2 linked regions of the Anolis sagrei genome follow. The protein of the gene in region 2 binds, or shares a complex with, the protein of the main gene of each other region. Links are inferred from orthologs where the notes say so. Each region holds a gene or a part of one and is shown on either strand. Other genes may lie near its edges.

Region 1 (7,779 bases), on a different chromosome or scaffold from region 2:
GGTAATAACAATTTAAAGAAGGTGCAAAACAGTTTTGCAGGAGGATGCTAAGAGAGCAGTCACAGGTTCTCTGGAATACCTTTTAGCTTTCAATAATACCTTTTAGGTTGTTTTGTGTCATATGGGGTGCTAAAAGAAACCCTTCCTGGATGTGAAGGGAAAACAAGACTGTCAGGAAAATATGTTTAAAAAGGGAGGGGTCAAAAGTCCCCAAAATTCCTTCCAAAAGCAACAGGACATTTCAGTAAACAAAGACGTAGTGGATGGAATGCGACTATTTTCCCCTCCTGGTATCTAAGTGATAGAAACGAGTGCATTTCCTCTCCTGGTATCGAATGAACGGAAAGAGTGCATTTGCCCTATTAGTATGCGAATCTGGCTCATGTGAATTGGAAAAAAAAAACACCCCACACATGAAGACCTTCCCTCACATTTGGTGTAGTAGCCACACAAAAACAATAGTCCAGACAGAACAGCACACCACACTGGAAGACAGTGAGAGGATGCGATTGGAAGAAGGGGAACCCACACAAACAATTTTTGAGGAACTTTCTCTTCCCAGGAAGGGTGTCCCAAAAGTCAGCAGAGAAAGGGAACATATTCTTATATTATACAATATGAGTATGGGGGAGAAGACAGGCTGCATCCACACTGACCTTTATACTAGGATCTGATTCCAGATTATCTGGCAGTTTAGACTCATATAATCCAGTCCAAAGCATATATTCTGGGTTCAGATCCTGGGATATAGGGTAGGATCCAGCCTCACTGTACGTGTGTAGAAAGAGTTCCTTCTAAGGAATGTTTTTTTTTTTTTTGTAAAATATTGTAAGGAATCTTTAAATCAAGGTATCCCTAGTCTCCCTGTGTAAAGTACTGCAAAAGGGCAGAGACAGAGAGGCCCCTTCCACACTGCCTTATATCCCAGGATCTGCTCCCAGATTATCTCCTTATCTCAGATTATTTGGCAGTGTAGACTCATATAATCCAGTCCAAAACATATGCTCTGGGACCAGATCCTGGGATATAAGGCAGTGTAGATTCAGCCTCACTGTGTGTGTAAGGAAAGAGGTGGGCAAGAGTTCCTTCTAAGGGATATTTTTTGTAAAATACTGTAAAGAATCTTTTGTAAGGCAAGATACCCTTAGTGTCCTGCAAAAGGAAAGAGAGAAGCCACTTCCATACTGCCCTTCATCCCAGGATCCGTTCCAAGATTATCTGACAGTGTAGACTCCTATAAGGTAAAGGCTTCCCCAGACTTTGTCTAGTCACATCCGACTCTGGGGGTAATGCTCATCCCCATTTCTAAGCCAAAGAGCCAGCATTGTCCGTAGACGCCTCCAAGGTCATGTGGCCAGCATGACTGCACGGAGTGCTGTTATCTATTGATCTAGTCACATTTGCATATTTTCAAACTGCTAGGTTGGCAGAGGCTGGGGCTAACAGCAGGAGCTCACCCCATCCCGAGGATTCAAACCACCAACCTTTCGGTCAGCAAGTTCAGCAGCTCAGTGGTTTAACCCACTGCGCCACCAGGAGGCATTTAGACTCATATAACCCAGTTCTAAGCATATACTCTGGGACCATATCCTGGAATATAACGCAGTGTAGATCCAGCCTCACTGTGTGTGTGTGTTTGTTTGGTTGTGTGTATTTATATATATACACATACATACAAAGAGGTGTCCAAGAGTTCCTTCTAAGGAATGTTTATAAAATATTGTAAGGAATCTTTTGTAAGTCAAGGTACCCCAAGTCACCCTATGTGTGGGACTACAAAAGGGCCAAGAGAGAGGACACTGCCCTATATCCCAGGATCTGATCCCAGATTATCTGGGAGCATAGACTCATATAACCAAGTCCAAAGCAAATACTCTGGCATAAGATCCCGGGATATAGGGCAGTGTAGCTCCAGCCTCTCTCTGTGCGTGTGTAGAGAGAGGGGGGAAGGGTGGCCAAGAGTTCCTTCTATGGAATAGTTTTGTTTGTAAAATCTTGTAAGGAATTCTTTGTAAATCAAGGTACCCCCAAGTCTCCCTATGAGTGGGACTGCAAAAGAGCACTGCACTATATCTCAGGATTTGACTTCAGATTATTTGGCTGTGTAGACTCATATAACCTGGCCCAAAGCATATACGTTGGGATCAGATCCTGGGATATAGGACAGTGTAGATCCAGCCTCATTTTGTGTGTAGAGGGGGGGGGGGGGGGATGGCTAAGACTTCCTTCTAAAAATAAGGGGTTTTTTTTTTTGTAAAATACTAAAATTGGCTAAAAGGTCCTTCTAAGGCAGTGGTTCTCAACCTGGGGTCCCCAGATGTTTTTGGCCTTCAACTCCCAGAAATCCTAATAGCTGGTAAACTGGCTGAGATTTCTGGGAGTTGTAGGCCAAAAACATCTGGGGACCCCAGGTTGAGAACCACTGCTCTAAGGAATAGTTTTTTGTTTTGTTTTGTTTTTTGCAAAATATTGTAAGGAATCCTTTGTAAATCAAGGTACCCTCAAGTCTCCCTATGTGTGGCACTGCAAAAGGGCACACTGGACTATATCTCAGGATCTGACTTCAGATTATCTGACTGTGTAGACTCACATAATCCTGTCCAAAGCATATACTTTGGGATCAGATCCTGGAATATAGGGCAGTGTAGATCCAGCCTCACTCTGTGTAGAGAGAGAGAGAGAGAGAGAGAGGAGGAGAGGGGTGGCCAAGAGTTCCTTCTATGGAATAGTTTTGTTTGTAAAATATTGTAAGGAATCCTTTGTAAATCAAGGTACCCCCAAGTCTCCCTATGCGTGGGACTGCAAAAGCGCACTGGACTATATCTCAAGATCTGACTTCAGATTATCTGGCTGTGTAGACTCATATAATCCAGTTCAAAGCATATACTGAGATATAGGGCAGTAGATCTCCCTATGTGTGGGACTGCAAAAGGGCACTGCACTATATCTCAGGATCTGACTTCAGATTATCTGGCTGCAGGGGCGGCTCATCCATTACGCGAAGTAAGCGGTCGCAGAACACTTTTTTTTGCCAGGGGCGCCGAGGCACCTCTGTAAATGCCCCTCGACCACCACTTGAGGAGCACCCCCTCAGCTCACAACAGCCATAGCAGTCCGGGGGGAGCCTCGGCTTTCTTGCCTCACTGCTGGGAGATCCTCATCCCAAAGGGGCCGGGCCCTTGACCCTCGCCTCGCCCTGCTCGTTCCTGCTCCACCCGGCTACCGGATGCATGAGCAGCGCCGGCGCTCAATCATTCTCCGCGTTCGATCCCTTCCCCATGACCGGCTCCCTTTCCCGATCCCCCAGCGCTCCACTCGCCTCCTCTCCTCTCCCCAATCCGTGGGTGGGCCAAGGGGGGGAGCCGCCGCACCTGGCCCGCTTTGGGTCCGGAGGCGTGTCTGAAGACCCCAGCATGTGCACCAAAAGTTGCCTCTTCTCCTGACTTTCTCTTTAGCCATTGGGACCAAGAGAGAGAGAGAGAGAGAGAGAGAGAGAGCCCCTCCGGCTGGAGGTATCTCCCACCTCTGCTTCCTCCTTTGTTTTTGCGCCTACTTTCAGGAAAGGTGGGCATCTCCACCTCTCTCTCTCTCTCTCTCTCTCTCTTGGTCCCAATGGCTGAGGAGAAAGTCAGGAGAAGAGGTGACTTTTGGTGCACACGCTGGGGTCTTCAGGCACGCCTCCGGACCCAAAGCGGGCCAGGCAAGGGAGCAAGTGCAGCAAGTGTAGTTACTGGGATGTATAGTTCACCTACAATCAAAGAGCATTCTGAACTCCACCAATGATGGGATTGAACCAAATATGGCACGCTGAACTCCCATGACAAACAGAAAATATATATCAATGCTTGGTTGGGGGGGGGGGGCGCCAAAATACTGTTTGCTTACCGTTGAAAATTACCTAGGGCCGCCTCTGTCTGGCTGTGTAGACTCATATAATCCCGTCCAAAGCATATACTTTGGGATCAGATCCTGGGATATAGGGCAGTGTAGATCCAGCCTCACTGTGTGTGTGTGTGTGTGTAGAGAGAGAGAAGGGAAGGGTAGCCAAGAGTTCCTTCTATGGAATAGTTTTGATTGTAAAATATTGTAAGGAATCCTTTGTAAATCAAGGGACCCCCGAGTCTCCCTATGAGTGGGACTGCAAAGAGCACTGCACTATATCTCAGGATTTGACTTCAGATTATCTGGCTTTAAAGACTCATATAATCCAGTCCAAAGCATATACTGAGATATAGGGCAGTGTAGATCTCCCTATGTGTGGGACTGCAAAAGGGCACTGCACTATATCTCAGGATCTGACTTCAGATTATCTGGCTGTGTAGACTCATATAATCCAGTCCAAAGCATATACTGAGATATAGGGCAGTGTAGATCTCCCTATGTGTGGGACTGCAAAAGGGCACTGCACTATATCTCAGGATCTGACTTCAGATTATCTGGCTGTGTAGACTCATATAATCCCGTCCAAAGCATATACTTTGGGATGAGATCCTGGTATACAGGGCAGTGTAGATCCAGCTGTGTGCGCCTGAAGGTGGCTCTGGGGAATGTGGGCGCAAAGTGATTGTAGAGGAAGGAGAGATGGGGGGGAAGCCAGACAAGACACAGACACAGAGAGAGACACACAGAGACAGAGACAGGGACCCCTCGAGGCGGTGGGTGCTTACTGCGGGCTCTTGGGGTAGAAGGGCAGGGTGACGTGGCTGAGGTCCTGGAGGTCGAAGGCGGTGGGCTCGGCGGAGATGGCCTGCCGCTTGGTCCGCTGCTCGCCCCCTCCTCCTCCGCTTCCTCCTCCTCCTCCTCCACCCCCACCGCCTCCTCCTCCTCCCCCGGGCAGGGCTCCAGCGGCCCCCTGGTGCGCCTGCTGGGTGGCCGGCCGGATCACGGAGCGGTACTTGTCCAGCTCGTTCTGGAGCCGCTGGATGAGCTCGTCCTTCTGGTCCAGCTCCAGCTCCAGCTCGTCGATGAGCGCGTCCCGCTGGCGGAGCTCCTCGATCTTCTCTTGCAAGGCGTACTGCAAATCCCGCAGCGTCCCCATCCTCGAAGGGAGCCGCCAACGCCGCCGCCGCCGACGGAGCCACCTCTCCCCCTCCGCCTCGTCCCACTTCGCGCCAACTTTGCCTGTTGGACTGTTGCTGCTACTCGCCGCTTCCTAGGGGAAGGGAGCCCCCATCCTGGGGAGAAGCCCACCACCCTCCTCCTCCTCCTCCTCCTCTCCGCCTGCTTGCCTGCGTCAGGCCACCAGACTGGAGAGAGACGGAGAGTGAGGAGGGAGCGCGAGGGGCGTCTGCAGCATGCCGCCGCTTTCTCTCTCCCTCCGCCGCCGCCGCCGCCGTTCCGCTATCCCGCCCGCGCCCCCGCCTCTCTTCTTCTTTCTCCTCCTCCTTCTCCTCAGCTGTTACGGCCGCCCCTCTTTCTCCCACCCCCCTTCTCCTCCTTCCTCCGCACAACTCAGCCTCGTAAGAAGAAGAAAAAGGAGGGAGAGGGCTGCATTCCGGGCGCCTTCCTGGCCCCCCAAAGACGGCGCGCGCCGCTTGTTGTGTTGCGTGTTTTCCCGCCGAAGCACGCGCTCTCTTCCGTCTCAGAGGAGAGAGAGAGATCAACCCTTGGAGAGTTCGAAGCGCGCGCGCGCTCGCTCGCGGTGGGGGGGGGAGGGGGAGAGGAGGCGCGGGGGCTTCTTTCCCTCTTCCCAGTCTTCTCTGACAGACTTTAATTTTTGGCGGGAAGTCGGCTTGAGCGCCTCACAAACAGTCCAAAAAACATACACACAACAGAACGTGCGTTAGCTGTCAAGCACAGGTGTCTTTCAACCACTCTGGCCCCGCCAATGGGCGCCTCTTCTTTGCAGAATTAGCTGTCCAGCACAGGTCCTGCCAATGGGTGCCCTAGTTCGATGCTATTGACAAACTGGTGGCCCTTCCACTCAGGGCCCTTCCACACAGCCCTTTATCCCAGGATATCAAGGCAGATAATCCCACATTAGGTTGTTGTAGGTTTTTTCGGGCTATAAGGCCATGTTTTAGAGGCATTCTCTCCTGACGTTGCACCTGCAGGTGCTTGTGGATTTCAATGGCTTCTCTGTGTAGTCTGACATGGTGGTTGTTAGCGTGGTCCAGCATTTCTGTGTTCTCAAATAATATGCTGTGTCCAGGCTTCCAACTCTCCAAGGCACTGCAGACTACTTCAACCAGAGAAGTCAGCCATAGCAGAGCACCTGATGAACAACCTGGACACAGCATATTATTTGAGAACACAGAAATGCTGGACCACTCTCACAACCACCATGTCAGACTACACAGAGAAGCCATTGAAATCCACAAGTGTGTGGACAATTTCAACAGAAATGAGGAAACCATGAAAATGAACAAAATGTGGCTACCAGTATTAAAAAAAAACTCTAAAATTAGAACAGCACAACAACAGAGAGGAAACAAACAAGGACATCTAATCACCTCTCAACAAAAGATTGCCTCAGTCATTGACAGGCCATCAAATGCTAATCAAGGTGCTCAGTTGAAACATTCACACCTAGCTCCAACAGACAAGAGTTCTTTGTCCCACCCTGGTCATTCCACAGATACATAAACCCACTTCCCTAGTTCCAACAGACCTCACTACCTCTGAGGATGCTTGCCATAGATGCAGGCGAAATGTCAGGAGAGAATGCCTCTAGAACATGGCCATATAGCCCGAAAAAACCTACAACAACCCAGTGATTCCAGCCATGAAAGCCTTCGACAATAAATCCCACATTATCCTAGTGTGGAATCAGATGTTGTTGTTGTTGTTCATTCGTTCAGTCGTTTCCGACTCTATGTGACCTCATGGACCAGCCCACACCAGAGCTCCCTGTCTGCTATCAACACCCCCAGCTACTTCAATGTCAAGCCAGTCACTTCAAGGATACAATCCATCCATCTTGCCCTTTGTTGGCCCCTCTTCCCTTTTCCTTCCATTTTCCCCAGCATAATTGTCTTCTCCAAGCTTTCCTTTCTTCTCACGATGTGGCCAAAGTACTTCATCTTTGCCTCTACTATCCTTCTCTCCAATGAGCGGTCGGGCTTTATTTCCTGAAGTATGGACTGGTTGGATCTTCTTGCGATCCAAGGCACTCTCAGAACTTTCCTCCAACACCACAGTTCAAAAGCATCTATCTTCTTTTGCTCAGCCTTCCCTATCGTCCAGCTCTCACATCCATGGGTGACAATGGGGAATACCATTGCTTTAACTATGCAGATCTTTGTTGCCAGTGTGATGTCTCTGTTCTTCACTATTTTATCAAGATTGGTCATTGCTCTCCTCCTAAGAAGTAAGCGTCTTCTGATTCCTGGCTGCAGTCTGCGTCTGCAGTAATATCTGCACCTAGAAATACAAAATCTGTTGCTGCCTCCACATTTTCTCCCTCTATTTCCCAGTTGTCAATCATTCTTGTTGCCATAATCTTGGTTTTTTTTTTTAATGTTTAGCTGTCACCCAGCTTTTGCGCTTTATTCTTTCACCTTGGTTAGAAGGCTACTCAGCTCCTCCTCGCTTTCGGCCATCAGAGTGGTGTCATCTGTATATCTAAGGTTGTTAATGTTTCTTCCAGCAATTTTCACCCCAGCTTTGCATTCCTCAAGCCCCGCACGTCGCATGATGTGTTCTGCATACAAGTTGAATAGGTTGGGTGAGAGTATGCAGCCTTGCCGTACGCCTTTCCCAATCTTGAACCAGTCTGTTGTTCCATGGCCAGTTCTTACTATTGCTACTTGGTCCTTATACAGATTCCTCAGGAGACAG
Region 2 (7,779 bases):
CAAAAGGATCTTTATGAATCAAGAGGCTATAAAACTGCAAATGAGATTCTCTTTAAACAGGTGCACTATAACTGCACATGGAGTAAAGCAGTCTCAGATATATATAGATATATAGATACAGGCTTAAGCAGAGAGAGAGAGAGAGAGAGGGAGGTGAAATCTGAACCATTTGCAAGTTCCTCAGAAAAAGAATTTGGGAATCAAGGTGGAAAAACTTAATGAAAAAAGAAACGTCATCTTGGTGTGCCATTGCAATAAAAATTGGCTAATCCCATGCTATGGTTTATTAAGAAGATGACTAAAAATAAAACTGTCAGTACTATGCTGCCTACACATAAAAATAATCTCTCTCTCTCTCTCTTACTCTCTCACATATATATATATATACACACACACACACACACACACACACACATACACATATACATAGACACACACACACACATATATATTCTCCAGGCCACACCATTTCCTCGTAGAGAAATTATAAAACCTTTAATGCACATTAAACTCTACAGAAACAAGACTTAATCTCATCCCCTCACACAGAGGGAAAGTAAAGCTATAATAACACAAATTCCTTGTCCTGTTGCATGAAAAAACACTTCTTACTTCACCTCTTCCTTTGTTCACATGGTTAACATGCAAAGGGAGAGAAAACAAAGAGCTCTCTTTTCTCTCTTATATAATGGTGTACCTCTCCTTCGGACCCTTCCAAGAGTCATCTCTATAACCTCCACAAGATATTCATGTACATAGTTTGCTTTTGCGAAAGCACTATAGACACCCTTTATTTTGTCCTTCATAAGGAAGTTTTGGAACAGTGTTTCCCACATGTTGATCTTCCAGGTGCTTTGGCTGCATCTATGCTGTAAATATAACGCAGTTTGACACCACTTTGTCTTCCATGGCTCAATACTATGGAATCCTAGGAGGTGATACAATGGCTTCAAACTACAGGAAAGGAGATTCCACCTGAACATTAGAACTTCCTAACTGTGAGAGGTGTTCAGCAGTGGAACTCTCTGCCCTGGACTGTGTTGAAGGCTCCTTCTTTAGAGGTTTTTAAAGAGGCTGGATGGTCATCTGTCAGGGATGCTTCAAATGCTATTTTCCTGCTTCTTGGCAGGGGGGTTGGACTGAATGGCCCATGAGGTCTCTTCCAACTCTATGATTCTATGAATTGTTGGAATTGTGGTCTTAGAAGCCCCTTTAGCCTTCTCTGCCAAAAAGTGCCTGCTATTAAAACTCCCATGATTCCATAACATTTGAGCCATAGCAGTTAAAATGGTGTCAAACTGTATTATTTCTACAGTGTAGAGATGCACCCTTCCACTTCCCATATTCTTTAGAGGACCAGAGCTTGAGAATCATTACTCTGGCAGATTAAAAAAAAATGTCACCCCTTTCATCATATTAACTCTGATCTCCTAAATCCCTCAACTCAATCCATCAACTCAATTTCAAAGGGAGTTTTAAAAATATGTAATTCATTTTCTGGTAACTACTTTTCGCTTGCATCAACACTGTAGAACCAATGCAGTTTGGCACCTCTTTTAACTGTGGTGGCTCAATACCACAGAATCCTGGGACTTGTATTTTTCACAAATGGTTTAGTTTGGTGTCTCATCAAACTCAAATTCCCAGGACTCCATAGCATTGATCCTTAGCAGTTCAAGTGGAGCAGAAATGCATTAATTCTCCAATGTAGATAAGGCATGGGCCAACTTGGGCCCTCCAGGTGTTTTGGACTTCAACTCCCACCATTCCTAACAGCCTCAGTCCCTTTGCTTTTCCCTCTCAGCCACTTAAGTATGCTAGAATGTTGAGGCTGGCCAATAAAAAACCATATGCAAATGAGTAGGTCGAGATAGCTCATGCATGGGCCAACTTGGGCCCTCCTGGTGTTTTGGACTTCAACTCCCACCATTCCTAACAGCCTCAGGCCCCTTCCTTTTCCTGCTCAGCCACTTAAGAAAGTTAGAATGTTGAGGATCGCCAATCAGAAACCATATGCAAATTAGTAGATTGAGATAGCTCATGAATGGGCCAACTTGGGCCCTCCAGGTGTTTTGGACTCCAACTCCCACCATTCCTAACAGCCTCAGGCCCCTTCCTTTTGCTGCTCAGCCACTTAAGCCTGTTAGAATGTTGAAACTGGCTAATCAGAAACCATATGCAAATGAGTAGGTCGAGATAGCTCATGCATGGGCCAACTTGGGCCTTCCAGGTGTTTTGGACTCCAACTCCCCCCATTCCTCACAGCCTCAGGCCCCTTCCTTTCCCCCCTCAGCCACTTAAGTATGCTAGAATGTTGAGGCTGGCCAGTCAGAAAGCATATGCAAATGAGTATGTCAAAATAGCACATGCATGGGCCAACTTGGGAATTGTGGAAGCTGAAGTCCAAAACACCTGGAGGGCCCAAGTTAACCCATGCCTGGTGTAGATGCACCCTGAGCCACCCTTCCACAGGCATCCTTTTTCCACACTGGCCGGAGCCAAGGGGCTGTCTGCTTTCTCCGGCTCCATTTGAAACAAAAGCAATTGAGTTAATAACTTTGAAATGCCTGTCGCGGCCCCAGATGTCAAAAGTTTGCTGCCAAGGAACGCAACCTGGCAAGAAAGCAAACCCTGGCGCTGTTGCTCCTGCTTAAGATGTCAAGGGAAACCCAAGGGAAGAGGGGATGTCTCTGTAACCAGACTATTCAGACCTACCTGTTGGGCAGAACCATCTGTGGCTTAATCCCTTTTTTGACTTTCCCTCTTTCCCCAGAAAAAAAACCCCAACTCACATCCTCCTTAAATGGCTTTTTATAGTTTGCTGCATCAAAGCCATGAAGTTGTTGTTTTTTTGAGCCAGTTAAGGACATCTTTCCCTTCCAAAAATAATGAACAATAACAATCCAAGATCGCCTTTCAAGTCTCCCTGCAGCTACAAATGCTTTCTTGTTAATAATAATAATAATAATAATAATAGATTTAAACTTTATTTATTTATACCCCAGAAGGACCTGGGACAGCTTACAAAGCACTCAAAGGTGCAACACATAAAATACAAAAAAAGATGCAGAAACAGTAACATAAAACAGTAACAGCAAACAAACTGTTGCAAACTTAGGGCGGGGATTGAACAGAGACAGAAAAATAAAGAAAAATCTGTTGCTGCTTTCTTTTCTTTACTTCCAAAATAATAATAAATAAACACCCTACAAATCCTTGCTGCAGAAACAGGCATCTGGGTGATCTGGTAAGAAAGGGAAGGCACACAAACCAATATGGGTTTTTAATGGACACAGCTAGTGCATCTACACTGTAGGATCGATGCAGTTTGACTCCAATTCAACTGCCATGGCTCATTGCTATGGGATCCTGGGAGTTATAGTTTGGAGGGGCAACAAGAATCTTTGGCAAAGGGGGAGAAAGTAAAACTACAACTCCCACGGCAGTATGAAGTGGTGCAGAACTGCATTAATTCAACAGTGTAGATGCACTACCACCACTCAGGATCCGATAATACTACCGGGCCATTGAAGTTAAAGCGACCACAAATTAATTCTACGCTGTGTACATCAGGCATGGGCCAACTTGGGCCCTCCAGGTGTTTTAGACTTCAACTCCCACAATTCCTAACAGCCATAGGCTGTTAGGAATTGTGGGAGTTGAAGTCCAAAACACCTGGAGGATCCAAGTTGGCCCATGCCTGGTGTAGATGCACCCCTTATAACACTATACATCCCAGGATCCCATAGTATAGATACAGCCATGGCACCTAAAGTAGTATTTACTTAACTGTATTCATCCTACAATACAGATGCAAAATTACAAATCCCAGGATTTCACAGCATTGAGCCATGACAGTTCCAACTGGTGTCAAACTGCTCTAATCCACAGTGTAGATGTCCCACAAACCCCAGTTGAACCACAGAAATTAAATTGGTATCAAAGTGCACTAATTCCTCAGTGTAAATGCCCCACAAACCCAGGATCCCATAGTGTTGAACCATAGAAGTTAAAGTGATATCAAAGTGCACTAATCCCACAGTGTAGATGCTCCACAAACACCAGGATTCCGTAGTGTTGAACCATAGAAGTTAAAGTGGTATCAAACTGCACTAATCCCACAGATGCTCCACAAACCCAAAGATCCCATAGTATTGAACCATAGAAGTAAAAGCGGCATAAGACTGCAATAATTCCAGTGTAGATGCTCCACAAACCCCAGGATTCCGTAGTGTTGAACCATATAAGTTAAAGCGGTATCAAACTGCATTTTCCCACAGTGTAGATGCACCACAAACCTCAGGATCCTATAGCATTGAGCCATGACAGTTAAAGCGGTATCAATCTGCGCTAACTCCACAGTGTAGATGCACCATAAGCCAGAGCTACATCCTCTGTGAGGAGAGAAAACACCCCATCCTCATTTCCTCTCCCACCCTATTGCTTTACCTGGTTGCATAAGGGACTCCTCTTAAATCCTGGGGTGACTGATCAGCCTCTTGGTAATCCCATATTCCCCTTTTCGGCCCCTGCCCGGTTCCGCCAGGGATGGAGGTTGCTCAGCCAGCCTCCCTTTGCCTCTGCCAAACACCCTGCTAGCTCAACATCCACATGGTTACTGCACTTCGCCAGCTCCCTGCAGCTGATTATATACTCCCGACAGGCTCCCTGGGCAATGTAGTCCGGGCCGGCCCGCTCCCCCGCCCGCTCTCGCGGATGGAACGCCGCGGGGGGACTACAGCTCCCAGCATGCACCGGGCTCTCAGGGTGGGCTGCTTCAGAGTCTCGGCGAGCGGGGCAGCAGCGTCTCTTCTTCTTCTTCTTCTGCGTGAGTGTGTATCAGATCAAAAGGAATGTTGTCTCTCGAACGCCGAAGTTCTTTCTGGGGCGCTGATTGGCCGAGAGGAGCCTTTTCTCCCTGCCGTCAACCAATCCCCGGCGGGCAAAGGCTCCCCCCTTCTACATTCCAATATTAACATAAATAAATAAATAAAAGGAGTGGAGAAGATCCTCCCTTGCGCCCCCCCCCCCACCTTTTGTTTTATATTCATTCAAAGAGACATTTATTTGGGAGCTTTCTCTCAAGACTTTTTTTATATATAGACTGACAACTCCTCATCCCTCCCCCGCTTCCTTGCACAAGCCAAGAATTTCAACCATCTGTGAGTGTTTGCAGTACGAGGCAGCACACATGAGTAATATGCATCGAAACCCCGTTGTGATTGTGTATCTGTGTGTGTATTTTTAAAAAGGAATGACAACAGAAAGCCAAATCGTTGACCTCAGGGTCGACCAGAGAGAAAAAAAGTGAGAGAATTGTGTAGGAAGTTAGATACAGATACAGCTTGAGGATCCCTCATCTGAAACTTTGGGGACCAGAAGTGTTTGGGATTTTATTCTTGGTTGCTCTATAGGGTTTTCATTATTTTAATTGTTTTGCTTGCTTTAAGTGATTGAATTAAAGATATATAAAGTATGTATATATTGTAGCTCTTAAATTGCTGGATGGTCATCTGTCGGGGGTGCTTTGAATGCAATTTTCCTCTTTCTTGGCAGGAGGTTGGACTGGATGGCCTCTTCCAATTCTATGATTCTATGAGTCTACAATTGCATTGGGTTGCTGTGAGTTTTCTGAGGTGTATGGCCACGTTCCAGAAGCATTCTCTCCTAATGTTTTGCCTACATCTATGGCAGGCAAGCCTGTAGCCGGGGGGGGGGGGGGTAGGGGTTCAAACCCCCCCCCCCCCCGAAAATTTTCAGGTTTAAAAAAAACCTGGTTTGCTCATGAATTTTAACTGGTTAACCAAATCCCCATGCTAAGTCTATGAGATGCAAAAAATTAAGAGTCCCTCCAGAACTGCAAGCACTCTCTCAAGCAAATATCGACAATTTATTCACACTGTCATTACTTGCAGCAATAGCCCATGTAGTGAAGCAACCAAGTTGGGGGGGGGTGATGAAAGCTCTCATCAAGGAGGCCAGACTTGGTGGAGGTGGTTGACAGGGGCGGAGCTGCAGGCTATTGAAGGCTGTTCTGCCCCCCGCTGTGCTCTTGGCTTCAGCATGAGTTGGAGGCAGGTTTCAACCCCCCCCCCCCCAAATTTTCAAAAACCCTCCCTGAAATTTCAACCCTCCCCGAAATTTTTTTTCTGGCTACGGCCCTGATGGCAGGCATCCTCCGAGGTTGTGAAGTCTGCTGGAAATTAGGCAAGTGGGGTTTATATATCTATGGAGTTATTTCTCCCACCCTGGACATTCCACTTGCCTAGTTTCCAAAAAACCTCACAACCTCTGAGGATGCCTGCTGCTATAGATGTGGGTGAAACATCAATAGAGAATGCTTCTAGAACATGGCCATATACCCCGCAAAACTGACAGCAATAGTGATTCTGGCCATGAAAGCCTTCGACAACACATTGCATTGTTTTTAATGTTGCAAACCACTTTGGGTCTCAACCAAGGGTTCATCTACATTGTAGAATTAGTGCAGTTTAACAGCACTTAACCACCATGAATCAATGCTATAGTATCTTGGGATTTGTAGTATGGTAAGTCACAAGCACTATGACAAAGAAGACTAACATTTTGTAAAACTACCACTCCCGTTGATTCCATAGCATTGGGCAGATAAAGTGGTGTCAAACTCAATTCATTCTACGGTGTAGATAAAAGTATTAAATATGATGGATTAGATCACTCTTTGGTTTGATCTAGCTTAGCTCTTCTTATGAGGTATTGGAATAAACACTCCCATCCTGCCAGAAAGGCATGGGAACAATTCTGCGGCCTCTCTATCTTATGCTTGCCAGCAATTGATGTGCAAATACCTAATGCTTTCAATACTGGAACCACTGGTGGATTTCTCATCTGATCTTCCAAGAATCTGTCACTTTTTAAACTCTCTCTGGCAGTGGCTATCTATAACAAATGCTTTTTAAAATATACAGGTTGAATATCCCTCATCTGAAATGCTTGGGACCAGAAATGCTTTGGATATGGGACTTTTTTTTCCCAGATATCTGTATTGGCATATATGCTTATTGGGAGATGTCTTGGAGATGAGGACTCATGTTTAAACATGAAATTTGTTTGTGTTTCATATGCATATGTATAATAACTAAGTAGCAACACTAAGAACAGACCACGAAACAACAGACTGGTTCAAGATTGGGAAAGGAGTACGGCAAGGTTGTATACTCTCACCCACATCATGCAATGTGCAGGGCTTGATGAATCCAAGGCTGGAGTTAAAATTGCTGGAAGAAACATTAACAACCTCAGATATGCAAATGATACCACTTTGATGTCTGAAAGCGAGGAGGAGTTGAGGAGCCTTCTAATCAAGGTGAAAGAAGAAAGTGCAAAAGCTGGGTTGCAGTTAAACATTAAAAAAAACTGAGATTATGACAACCAGACTGATTGGTAACTGGCAAATAGAGGGAGAAAACAAGGAGGCAGTGGCAGACTTGGTATTTCTAGACACAAAGATTATTGCAGACACAGACTTCATCCAGGAAATCAGAAGACACTTACTTCTTGGGAGGAGAGCAATGACCAATCTCTATAAAATAGTTAAGAATAGAGACATCAGACTGGCAACAAAGATCCACATAGTTAAAGCAATAGTATTACCTGTGGTAACTTATGGATGCAAGAGCTGGAGCATAAGGAAGGCTAAGTGAAGGAAGATAGACGCTTTTGAACTGTGGTGCTGGAGGAAAGTTCTGAGAGTGCCTCGGACCGCAAGAAGATCCAACCAGTCCATACATCAGGAAATAA

The links. The genes of interacting proteins can lie anywhere in the genome.
Region 1: ITPR1 (region 2) and PRKG1 share a complex: the UniProt entries of both Homo sapiens proteins name them as parts of the cGMP kinase signaling complex. The link is inferred for Anolis sagrei from reciprocal best matches to the Homo sapiens genes ITPR1 and PRKG1.

What each region holds. Positions count from the first base shown.
Region 1 is NC_090023.1:181,873,011-181,880,789, forward strand, and holds the start of PRKG1 (cGMP-dependent protein kinase 1), read right to left. Parts: upstream 5,354-7,779; 5' UTR 5,039-5,353; coding exon 4,668-5,038; intron 1-4,667. UniProt on the Homo sapiens protein: Serine/threonine protein kinase that acts as a key mediator of the nitric oxide (NO)/cGMP signaling pathway. GMP binding activates PRKG1, which phosphorylates serines and threonines on many cellular proteins.
Region 2 is NC_090022.1:45,933,619-45,941,397, reverse strand, and holds the start of ITPR1 (inositol 1,4,5-trisphosphate-gated calcium channel ITPR1), read right to left. Parts: upstream 4,825-7,779; 5' UTR 4,450-4,824; intron 1-4,449. UniProt on the Homo sapiens protein: Inositol 1,4,5-trisphosphate-gated calcium channel that, upon inositol 1,4,5-trisphosphate binding, mediates calcium release from the endoplasmic reticulum (ER).